Saccharomyces cerevisiae S288C: one gene and its partners. Changing the gene in region 2 together with the main gene of any one other region gives a genetic interaction. Each region holds a gene or a part of one and is shown on either strand. Other genes may lie near its edges.

Region 1 (4,956 bases), on a different chromosome or scaffold from region 2:
TTTGCAATGAATCCCCTCATCAATCATTTATGCTAGTTGAATATTTACTAACAGTAACAATAATAGCAGTGCATTAGAGGCTTTATTGCGTCATAAAATAAATATCAGTTCAATTAATGTATAAAAGAAAATGCTTATATATGTATTGATTAATAACCTTCTCAATGATGGGAGGGGCCTTATGTAAAATCACAATCCCCTTCCCCGTTTGTCGTACTATGATTAAATGCGAAAACAAAATGCAAAGAACATAAATGCAGGGAACCAAGTACAAATTCCCTTACATGATTGAAGAGAACATCAAATACGTTACTTCATCATCATCCATCATCTCTTGTAAACTCTTACCCTTCGTCATAGCTGCTCTCTGTTCTGTACCCATAACAGACGCCTTAGTTGTGTCTACGCCGTTGATGTTGTCTAAGCTATGTGCAGGAACCGTATAGCCTCTCCTCATGTATGCGGTCGGTACCACAGCAGCGCCCACCAGCCCTAACATAATATATCTAAACTTTGGAGTTCTCACAACTCTTTGTGCCTCTGAGTATATTCCTGAATCTAACTTCATTTCAGTAAACTTTGTTTGAATTTTATGCGCTAAATATTTGTATTGATTGTATTTATTGATTCTGATCCTTCAGTAACACACATTCCAAACTATCCTGGATAATGTGAAAGAGATTTGGCAGTTCAATTTATATGAAGAAGACCCTCACGTCGCGAAGCATTTTTAACAGTGTTATCCCAGTATCCCGTAATTCTTCTCTTCATCCAATGCTGGCCATTACTCCATTTATTGGGGTGATGTAGGCTTCTTATCCCTTTTAAAGGGTACCTTATTGATCTCCCTTTTCGGTGCGGCTGATGAAATCTATAGAGCAAACCGAAGTAAAACAAAATTACGAAAAGAAATATAACATTATATCTTTATCAAAATGTATGTATGGAGGAGTAACAGCTGAAAACCCCCGTTGTGAGTGGTTTATGATTGTTTTCACGCTTATTTTGTCTTCTATATCTTTGCTGATTTTACTTGTATTAATCCGGTTCATCCGAAAACTTTTTTGAAGATCGAGCCAAATTTACTTTTTTTCTTCTTTTCAGACCTTTTAAATTGATGGTCGTTTGTTGAGGATGAGGAACTGTCCTTTTTGCTGTTGCCTGATTTGGTGCTTTCGGTAGTTTTCGTCCTTGAAACGTGGTTGTGGTGATGGTGGTGGTGATGCGCTTTTCTCTGTCCTGAAGAAGATGAAGTGGAGGATGTTCTGGGTGATAGCCCTGCGGATTTTGTTTTTCTCATTGGATGTGAAGTGAACTTCATTTTCGGATCCTCATTGTCCCATTTTAGTGCTGTCTTGATATGAGGCGTAGAGGCAGTTTCGTGGTTGTAAATGTCATCAACCATGGACTTTACTTTATAAATGCCGTTATTGTTGAATTGTATTCTTGAACTCCGCTTTGAGCTGCGCCTCGAATTTCTCGATTCTATAGGAGTTAGCTTTCGGCCAGAACTGTCGTACTTCATAAGAGTGTTATCATCCAATAGTACTTGTCTCGACGGTTTTGGTCTAACATATCCCATCTTATCGAAGAATTCCATTTCTTCCTTTTTTTCAGGTGAGATTGGGAAGTACTCATTTACAGAGGTTACTGACTCATCACTATCGCTTTCTTCATCATCCGAATCAACCACTTTATGTTTTGTGAAAGGGTTTTCCAAAGTTCTCCTGATTAATGCACTTAGCCATTGCAATCGTTCCTTTTTTCTCACTTCCGTTTTCAAATCATCGCTGTTGTCCTGTTCATCTTTATCCACTCTAGGTTTTATTAAAAGCTCAGGCTTGATGAATTCGAATGGGACAACAAATGCTGGCATTGCAAAGTGTTTCATTAAAAAAAATGGTAGTTTCACTTTTCCATTTCTAAACTTGATTTGAATGTTGGCACTAACGGTGCTGATTACTTGCAAACTTGGCCTATACAGAGAGGTCGCAGATATTATGGCTGATCTTGTTGAATTTTCTTTTACCATCTCAATACTAATCCTAACTATTTTAGTTGCCAATCTTCTCGCGTAGTAATTTAAAATATCGCTACAAGTTTGCTTAGCCTCATTATGAATAGCTTCTATTCTTATTCCCGTTGATAAAGGACTAGAGAGATCCGGGCCTATAAGGCTATGTGACGCGGTAGTCATGCTTTCACTAGTATTGCTAGTCATCCTTTCTAAGCGGTGCCTTCTTTTCTCCTTATATGCTAGAGTATCAATCTTTGCTTCAAACTCAGGAATTGTAGTAATTATGACTAAATGATCACCATTTCTTGTCAAATTTTCAACATACCAGTCCACAGATGACCAAGTATATCTCCTACCTGATATATAACACGAAACAACTCTTAAATCTACATCGTCATCTTTGTCTTTGCAATTGAGCTTTTCTTTTGTATTGGAAATATAATTTTCATAGTCTGGATGATCAATTGTCATTGAAATTGCATTGTGAACAATTGTAGGCCTTGATGGATAAATTGCTGCTAAAGGGTCCGTCACGTTGCTTGAATCCGTTTTTGACTCTGTTGTGTTCAAATAGACTGGAACTTGCTCACCAAAATCAAATTGATCTATTTTAGTCTTGTTCGATCTTCCTTTACTTATATAAAATTCCTCTAATTTGGCTAATTCTTCGTCTGTCATCCCGGCAAACGACTTGGACCTTTTCTTTGAGCTCTCCATATTTTCGCTTTCGGATAAATCTACCATTGACTTGGTCTCAATTCTATCTTCAACTTCATTAAGATTGGCAAATGCAGCTTGCGTATAGCCTTTCCTTGATCCAGAATTTTTTTGAGTGTTTCTTTCGGTCATTTTGGTCATTTTTCTTTCCAGCTCAAAATCCAAATCACCAATATCAATATCATCAATAGGGCCCTGTTCATCAGCAGCTTTTCGAGATTTTTTTAGCACGGATACTTTTGGAGGGGGAGGCAACCTCACTGAAGTCCTTCTTCTTGACCTGAACATTGGAGACTCACTTCTACTTCTTTCAACGCTGGGCGATCTCAAATAGCTTTTGGAGGGATCATGTGCTGCAGGAGAAAATACCTGAGTATAGAAGTGAGGAACTCCAGATGTTGTAGACGTTGGAGTTCCTAGTTGTAGTGGCGAAGAAGCTTCTTCGTCTTCGGGTGAGTCCAAGCTTTCGTCAGTGGCAAGGTCATTAGAGCCATGGCTACCGGTCAAAGTATTTTTGTAAACAGGATTAAATTGTGGAGGTATATGTAAAAAATGATTATTCAAGCCAACATGGTGACTGTCATTTTTAATAATGGTAGCTTGGTCATCAATTAAGGAAGGTGCCAGATCATCAAACGAGATATGCTTAGTAAATGTCTTTGCAGATGACATCTTCTATTATTTTTATTAGATATTAGCAGTTTGCCAGGGATTACAGCTTCTCCCTTATGTACAGTGCGACAATATTCTTTTTTTCAATGTGTCTTTTTATTCATTCTTCTGAACAGTTTCGCTTCGTTAAGGGTCCTTCTGGCTTTCTAGAGGCATGCTCACCTAAAATCCCCCTAGAAAAGCGGGCTCTTTACCCGGCGAATAATAATAACCGCGGCTACTAATTTTGCACCATTGAATATTAACCTCAAAAGGCTTAGTTGGCAATTATATTCTCCTTCTATTAATACTTAATGTTTACAATGTCCTTATAGGTGTTTAAATATATTTTTATATACTTTGTACATATTGACTTCCCAGTGCGTAACAACGTCTTCCAATGACTATTTTTTTTGTTCGAGAGTATATAGTTTTTTTTTTAAAGCTAGCAGTTCGTCCTTGAGGGAATCTCTATTTTCTTTCGACATATACAGTTCCGCTTTCAGATTGTTGATTTTCATTCTGTGGAACGCATCAAAATTTCCATGAGTGATGGCGCCACGCTGTTCCTGCTTGTCATCCTGTTCAGCTTGTTCAGTTTTAATTCTATCAATCTCCTTCTGTAAATCGTCGTTGTTTTTACGATATTTTTCGAGCTCGGATTGTGATAGGTGAATAGCCTTCTTTGTTAGGTCCATAGACTTCGAGCTTCCATCAGAGAGTTTTCTTAGCGCATCCAACTTGTTGTTATTGTCGAGTAAATTAGCCCGCAAAGAATCTCTTTCATCATTAAGCTTCTGAGTTTCAAGGTGCAATTTCTCTTTAGCACGCACGGTTTCGTGCATTTCATTTATTACTTTTTCTATTTTGTTCAGCGAATCTTTCTCATATATTTGATTATCTTTCTCACTTGAAGGTGGCCGTGCACTGGTAGGATAGCTTTTTAATAATTTACCCAGATAGCAGGACGATTCGTTCAAATAGGTATGAAGTTCGGGGGTTATTTTTTGCATATTATTTACAAGTATTTCGTTCTGGCGCTTCAAAACATCACATTTATTCTCAAGATCGATGATATCCCTTTTAATAGTGACATGTTCGGAGCATGTTTTAAGTCCATTATTTTGAATCGTAATTTGGTCACAGAGTTTACTTGCCTGAGATAATTTGACCATCAATAAATTTTTTAAATCATTAATTCTAGATTCTAAAAAGGTTTTCTGAATTTCTAGATTTTTAAGCCGTGCTGTTTGAAAATTTGAATCTTTTGAAGCTTCTTTTATTACCATGAGTCTCTGGACTTCCTTTTCTAATTGTGAAATATGTCTAGCAGTTTCAAGTTCCTTTTGTTGAGCTTCGAGACGTAATGTTTGTAGGTTCAGGTTTAAATCATCAAAAAGATTTTTGGGAATTCCTTTTTGACATGATGTGTCCTTATATGAAGAAGAGCCATACTCTTCTGAATCCACTGTTAGTCCTCGTAGAACAGGGAAATTTTTTTTAGATACTTTGATACCAGTTCCCGGACTTTCCTTATTGATGCTTGAATCAACTTTGGAAGATTGGGGTTT
Region 2 (4,193 bases):
CGACGCATGTTATCATCTGGCTTTGGTAAGGTAAACCAGTCATTATCGTTTTTGTCGCTCTTGTTGGGTTTTCTTTTATCTTCTGTCTCCACACTAGGCAAGACGTTCTTCTTCTTCTTCTTGTTTGCTAAAGCATCAAATCCGGTTTCTAACTTAGGAAGCTTCTTAAGATTAGTTTCGATCTCTTGAAATTTACTTTCAATTTCTACTTCATCATCATTATTGCCTATCTGCAAAACATCCTCTTGTTGAAGAGAAACTTGTTCCTTCGCTGAATTTTTTACTTCTAGACTGGCACTAGCATCTCTTAGTGCTCCAAATAAGTCTTCCACACTTTGATCCATGTTTAACAGCTCCTTTCTCACGTCCTCTTTAATTGGAAAACTTGACGTCTCATCGCATTTTCTATTTCTTTTCTATCTTCTGTTTTAATATGCTGAAAAATTTTTAGGCCGGCACTAACCACGAATTATGATAAAAGAGAAGGATGTTTAGAGAAAAGGTTTTCGTGTGAAAGGGGGAATTGCGTTGTTAACTGACATAGCTGTCTTCAATGGAATCATAACAATGAAGTTCGAAGACCTCTTGGCAACCAATAAACAGGTGCAGTTTGCTCATGCAGCTACTCAACATTACAAAAGTGTCAAAACTCCAGATTTCTTGGAGAAAGACCCACATCACAAAAAATTTCATAACGCAGATGGCTTGAATCAACAAGGTTCTTCGACCCCATCTACAGCTACCGATGCAAATGCCGCCTCAACTGCTTCCACTCACACAAACACCACGACATTCAAAAGACACATTGTTGCCGTGGATGACATATCGAAAATGAACTATGAAATGATAAAGAATTCTCCAGGGAATGTAATAACGAACGCTAACCAAGATGAGATAGATATAAGCACCCTCAAGACAAGGTTGTACAAGGACAATCTTTACGCTATGAATGACAACTTTTTACAAGCTGTCAATGACCAAATTGTAACATTAAATGCAGCGGAGCAGGACCAAGAAACTGAGGACCCTGACTTATCAGATGATGAAAAAATTGATATACTGACCAAAATCCAAGAGAACTTGCTTGAAGAGTACCAAAAACTTTCACAGAAAGAAAGAAAGTGGTTTATATTGAAAGAACTACTGTTGGATGCAAATGTAGAACTCGATTTGTTCAGTAATCGTGGCAGGAAGGCAAGCCATCCAATCGCATTCGGAGCAGTAGCCATACCAACGAACGTCAATGCGAATTCACTAGCATTTAACAGAACCAAGAGAAGAAAAATTAATAAGAACGGCCTTTTGGAAAACATTCTTTAAGCCAAGATTAACATAAGACAAGTTTGCAAAATCCCCAACTTCACTTCCATATGCATATTCATTTAGGTATATATCGTATATTTGAGAAAAATTCATATATGAAACGTTATTAAAACATGAAAAATAGAATGTGTTATCGGGCTTAACTATATTCTGCCATTCAATGCGTGTTTCTTGACCATCTCTCGCACTACCTCTGACGGTACATAGAATGGGTTATGCTTCTTTGTCTTTTTCGTGTGCTCATATTGTCTTTGGTTCTCGAACTCAACCTCCTGGGTTAAATTTATATTAAAGAACAAGAAATCCTCTATGCTATCATTATTATCTTGAGATTCCATCTCAAATAGTTCAGAAAATCCGGTGTTCCCGAGGTCATCGTATTGCAATTTTTGTTTGTCTACCTCATTACTCAAATTGCTATTGGAGGTGCTTTTGATAGCATCACTACATTTATTATGAAGCATATCCATTAACTCCGTCCTGAGTTGTTCCGACGTGTGTCAACAAAAGGATTTACTAAGAATGTTGTATTTTGAGTTTTAAAAGGACGTGCATATGCACATACATATATATATACATATATGCGTATTTATCATCACTCCGTGCTGTTTAGAAGCTGCACATATTATGCATCTATCGCGATAGTATTGTGAGTTGGAGATAAAGATTTAATCATTTGTGCAACAACCGCTTTCTACTGTAGGCATAGAATTTCGCGCATCCCACCCCTTATTAACAATCACATTTTTTTTTTTTAATATTAATGACTCCGGTGGTCGTGATTGTAATCTTGATAACAATCGCGATCATGATCACGTTCTTTAGCCTCATTATCGAACAGTACTGGAGGTGAATAGGCACACCGTTTATCTAAAAGTTCCATGATCGTGGATTGGTCCCTCAAGATGGAATCATACGTATCTACACCACCGTATCTACTAGTGGTAAATCTCAAAATATCCCCAGTGTTGCCACGGTTCAAAACATCAATGTGGTCCAGTAATAGCTCATACGGATTCGTTCGTGGACGAGGCAGTGCTCCTCTATGAATATTGAACCGATGTTTAATTTTCCACATCTGAGATTCTAATTCAGAATAGTTTCGACGTCTTGCGTCCAATTCTGATTGCGTCCTTGGTTTAACTTCGTAATATAATTGTCTATGTAAGTCTTGGTATTCTTTGGCGAACATAAAGTGATTTGACCTTAATTGCAACTCCAAGCTGCTTGTAGTATATGGTCTTTTCATATCATTTGATTTATCCTTACTCGACCTTTTAATAGAAAACCTCCTGATGAAGTGTGGCACAGCAACCACTCCAAATTTTTCTAGAGGCTTTGTGGGCTTTGTTGAGCTTCTTTTGTCAATTCCAAGGCAAGAAAAGTCGTCTTCATCGGCCAAATATTCATCTTCAAATGTATGTATCGTATCATCAGGCAAGTGTTTATCATCGTAGCCTGTATCTGCTTTAGTTGGAGATTTTACTCGTTTTTGACCACCAGATGTATTTGCGTCGCAATTGCTAATGTATTCTGCACCTAAATACAACTTTTCTAAGTCCGCTGGTAAAGCTGGATCATTGACACCCAGTGGACTTGTCATCGTGAATCGTTGTGTTAAACTAATGAAAGAACCTTCCTTTACATTTTTGTCCACTCTGTTTTTGCCTTTATCTTGATCCTCGTTATCACCATCGGTAAAATCTTGGCCGCTATTAATTCCTGAAGCAACGTTAATACCACCACCAATCCTGCTGTCCAACATCGACAAGGCATGCTCACACCTTCCACCATTTATTGATAGCCCACTTAGTGTCAGTAACCTCGTATAGAATCCATATAGGAAATTTAAATTTGAACACGAAACACCATACTTTTTGGCCAAAATGATGGGCTGATGCAAAAGAATTTGAGCAGGATATTCAAATCGGTGGTAGAAACAATAAGGCTCAAACGGTAAGGATAAATATTCCGGATGTTCGTTTGCCGTAGAGTTGATAAGTTGCAGTTTTTTACCTTTGCAATATTCTACGATTTTCCCAAAATTAATCTCTTCTTCACCTTGTGATTTTACTAGCAAAAACCTTGCAATTTTGCTTCCACATTGTGCAAAGCAAATTCCAAGTAACTCTTTCACCAGATCTTTAAAAATAATTTCTGTGGATTTGTTTTCTAACATTTTCTCATAATCAAATTGTTCATAGATGATAGAAAGGATGTTAAGTGAGATTTTAGGAATAAGCAATTCCCACATTTTCAATGCCATTTGTTTTGGGTCCAAAATTAATTTAGATTTCATCCATTTCGCAACGGTCAATCCAAGAAGGAACCTGCGAACATTTGAACCCTTAATCCCTTGCAATTCTAACGAAGCTGCTTTCGTGTTTTCCAGAATGGTTGGACTTGCTTCAAAATTAGCATCACAATAAGTTAATCCCAAAGTTATTACACATTGATCGTCGTTGACCAATGCATATGATCCAAGCGATAACTGTCTGCATTCAACCTCACACGAAATGGAAATAACACACTTGCACTTCCCTCCAAAATAACTTATGGCTATGGGCTCCAGTTCGCAACCAAAATCAGTGCTAATAAGCACAGTCGTATTGTCGTTCGTGTAATCTGACAACAATCGACAAGTTGTTTCGAAAGACTGTAAGGAAATTGCAGACACTAACACAATGTCAATTGAATACGTATTTGCACCGTTATGTTTTAATTTGTGGTGCAGCTCTTTAATATCCTTAGTGAGAATGTTTGGCGTGTAGAAATTGGCGCCTAGTTTTGTCGATTTCCAGGCAACTAACTCGTCACTAGACACATATTGCGAGACCAGTATTATAAAAGAGTTGCTCAAACTTAGTCTC
Region 3 (3,655 bases), on a different chromosome or scaffold from region 2:
CAACAACTTTCTCATTTCTAGTATTATTTGCGGTATCGCAGAAACTAACTGTTGATCAGAAACATTGGTATCTTCCTTGATCTTGTCAAAATACTCTGACGCTATGCCTTTACATTCCATCAATTGCGATTCAAATTCTGCACTGAAAAGTAGGAATTTATCTCCTGGCGAAAATTCGTTAATCCATTCTATAATATTTCTGACAAATTTATTTTCATTCCTAACGTAATCTTGAGGTGAAACATTTAGCAATATCAAAGTTGGTTTGGAGGTTAAAAAGTTATGCTTATTCAAAATTTTGACTTCATCCAGGTTCCAATGATCTTTGAAATGCCGGATTTTTTTACCGTTAAACAAATGTTCCTCTAATGCATCTAATAATTCTGTCTCTATCTTCATTTCCTGATGTTCTTTAGAATTCTTCGAAACCATTCTCATCTTCTTACTAAGTCTTTCCCTAATGTTTTCCAGAAATTCTAAGTCTTTCAAGATGAGTTCATCTTGTACCACGGATAGATCTCTGACAGGATCAACATTACCTTCTATATGGGTGATGTCTTCCTTTAAGAATCCTCTCACCACTTGAAATATCCCCTCTACGTGTCTGATATCGTTTAAGAACTTGTTACCCAAACCATGGCCTTGAGATGCGCCTCTGGTGAGCCCAGCAATATCATATATTGTGAGTGTTCCAGGTACGCATTTCGCACTCTGATATATTCTCAATAAATTAGAGAGCGGCACGCTAGGTATATTGACTTTGGCACATTCTGCGTCAATGGTAGCGAATGGATAATTTGCAGGATTTCCCAATTTTGAGTTTGTTATTGCTTGGAAAAAAGTCGATTTACCAACATTAGCAAGCCCTACTATCCCTGAAGTTGGATTATTCGATATCCTCCCAAGTAAAAATTTTCCTCCACCAATGTTCATATCCGATTATTACTTCTCTTTATTCTTTTATATCCATATGCTTCAAACTATACAATTAAATAGATGCATTAAGGTTTACAAATAAGCATATCTCATTAGATACGGATGGGAAAAATCAAGAATCATGCAATGAATTATAATGCTCACCTAATGCATAGCTGTGTTTATAGTAAACTAGCTTCAATTCAGGATTTTTCCCACATTCATTGTACACTTGAATAGGTCTTCCACTCATCAGAATGCTAATGGGGCAGTCGAAAACGTGAGAGAGAGCCAAAATCTCAATTTCACCACCCCATTGAGCTGTATGCTCCATCTCTTTCGTATACTCATCAATGTCTTTCATCTTCATAGTTTCTTCATCAAACAAATATGGAATGAAATCATCCCTGTGCTCCTGTACGTAATTACAACTCAACCATCTCAGCTTCATGACATCCATGTCTTGATCCAGTTTTTTTGGATCATGGCGTAATTTTAACTGATCTAATATAGATGCAAAGAGACAGTGGCCATCGGGTTGTATATCGAATTGTTTCAGTTTCTTCAACTCGCATAACTGATCTATAGACTCCTGCTCCATTTTTTTCAAGTCCGGTTGTTTGGATGCTTCTAAAGCAGCCTCTTCTTTCATTTTAGCAATTGCTGCATCTCTTTTGGCCAATCTTTCCTTTTGTCTATTGCGACGCTTCTTTGTCTGGCCTTGTTGCTGTTGTTGAACGGGAACATTCTGTTGTTCTTTCTCATCTCGAGATATGGATAGTTGTTCTAAAAGTTTTTCAGGAGTCACTTCATCTTCTTGTTCTGCGTCAAACACTTCATTATTTGCAATTTTCCAATCCCTTATTTCATTTTCTTGCTTAGTCTTTAGTTTATCTTGAAGATCTAGGCATTTCGAATTAACTTCTTTCCTTTTGGATTTAGTAGCCTGCTTTTTCATACCCGTTATCTTATTCTGTAAATCTTTATTTTCCTTGCGATGTCTCGCCAAAATATCTTCCATGTTTTCCAAATTCTCTCCTGATTCCATGCCGGTCATGATGAATATCTCTTGTTCTCTCTACTAGATTGAATGCTGTGCTTTAGTTGGATTTTGTATTAGATGCTTTCGAGATGCCCAAACTAAAAACAAGGCGTGAAGAAAAAGAAATTTCGCGACGCATAATAATACTTTCTTTGACAGGGCCAGGGCTGCCAACTTTTCAGATTTTAACAATTGAGAAATTTATTGTGGTAAGAAAACCATAAATTTCCACTCTGTTGGAATTAAAATTTCCTGTATTGAACGAGAGTAGAAGCACACAATTTTCTTGAAGAAAAAGTAGTTAGTCTTCCATAATGTTCAATGGCCTTATCACACAAAAAAAAAAGAATGAAAGTACTATCAGCTTATAAGTCCTGATTAATTAAAAAAAGAATGCAGGAATAGCACCTTATAGTAAAAAAAGTAAATTTAAGTAATTAAATATAACTATACTGTAACTTTTTTGAATTGTATTTTCCCTGGCATTTACAATCTTTTTGTAACCTGGAATTTAACGATAACTGACACAAGTGATTCTTGATAATAAAAAAAAAAAGGAAAAATATTTCACTGTTCTACATAGTATATACAAGATCAATGACGGTTTTCTCTGGAGTAAATAAAATAGAGTTTGAAGGTACTTTCGAAGGTATTGGAAAGGATGTTGTTATGTCACAAATGATAAGGGCCTTGCAGAAACATTTTCCTTCGATACGTGACAAGAATTATGAGTTTAGCCTATTTTTGCACATTTTTCAAAGATATGTCTTAGAAAATACTTCAATCACCCATGATCTAGTTTGTGACAAAATTAGATTACCGATAATTGATGAAGTGGTTGAACTCGATGATATTAAAAATTACGGTTTGTTAGAGGGTAAACTATTATCAAAGTTAGCTATTTTAAAATTAACCGGAAAGGCTAATCCAATCATTGGTAAAGAAAGCCCTTTATTCGAAGTAAAAAATGGGATGTCTTCATTGGATGTAATAGTTCGACAAACGCAAAATTTGAATGTACGATATAATTCAGACGTTCCTCTTATATTTATGACCTCGCTTGAAACTGAATCTCAAGTATCAAACTTCCTTGAAGAGCATTATTCTTCTAGCAAAGTGAGATGGAAAACCGTAGTTCAGTCAAGCTTTCCACAAATTGATAAAGATAGATTATTACCTATCGATTTACAAATAAATTCTCATGAAAATGATTTTTGGTATCCTTGCGGGACTGGTAACCTAACTGACACTTTGTATTTTTCAGGAGAATTGGACAAATTAATTGCTCAAGGAAAAGAGATTTTATTTGTTTCAAATGTTGACAATTTGGGCGCTACAGGAGATTTGAACATTTTAAATTTCATCATAAATGAAAAAATCGAGTATCTTGTTGAAGTAGTTGAAAGGACTGCAAATGTTTCAAACACTGGAGTGTTGGCAACATATAAAGGTAAACTACGATCGGTTTATTACAACTGCTTATCCAATGAAAGTGCAAGCACGTGTCGAATTGTCAACACTAATAACATTTGGATTGATTTGAAAAAGCTAAAGGTGCTAATAGAGTCTAATAGTTTAAATTTGCCAATTCATTCTAGTGAAAGTAAAATAACACACAAAAATGAAGAGATAGAGTGTCTTCAATTTAAGACACAGTTGGTCGATTGTATTGCCTTCTTTCCGAACAGTCGAGTATTG

The links. Genes that interact genetically often act in the same process or in processes that back each other up.
Region 1: mutations in NRS1 (region 2) and YGR237C together harm fitness more than expected from each alone (negative genetic interaction), as found in Saccharomyces cerevisiae (one large-scale study listed by BioGRID).
Region 3: mutations in NRS1 (region 2) and OTU2 together harm fitness more than expected from each alone (negative genetic interaction), as found in Saccharomyces cerevisiae (one large-scale study listed by BioGRID).

What each region holds. Positions count from the first base shown.
Region 1 is NC_001139.9:962,250-967,205, forward strand, and holds YGR237C (uncharacterized protein), read right to left. Parts: upstream 3,407-4,956; coding exon 1,049-3,406; downstream 1-1,048. Other genes in the region: SPG1 (Spg1p), read right to left, coding at 281-568; KEL2 (Kel2p), read right to left, coding at 3,790-4,956.
Region 2 is NC_001144.5:246,634-250,826, forward strand, and holds NRS1 (Nrs1p), read right to left. Parts: upstream 1,794-4,193; coding exon 1,467-1,793; downstream 1-1,466. Other genes in the region: FCF2 (Fcf2p), read right to left, coding at 1-344; IES3 (Ies3p), read left to right, coding at 568-1,320; OSW2 (Osw2p), read right to left, coding at 2,084-4,193.
Region 3 is NC_001140.6:76,382-80,036, forward strand, and holds OTU2 (deubiquitinase OTU2), read right to left. Parts: upstream 1,973-3,655; coding exon 1,049-1,972; downstream 1-1,048. Other genes in the region: YLF2 (Ylf2p), read right to left, coding at 1-933; YHL012W (UTP--glucose-1-phosphate uridylyltransferase), read left to right, coding at 2,555-3,655.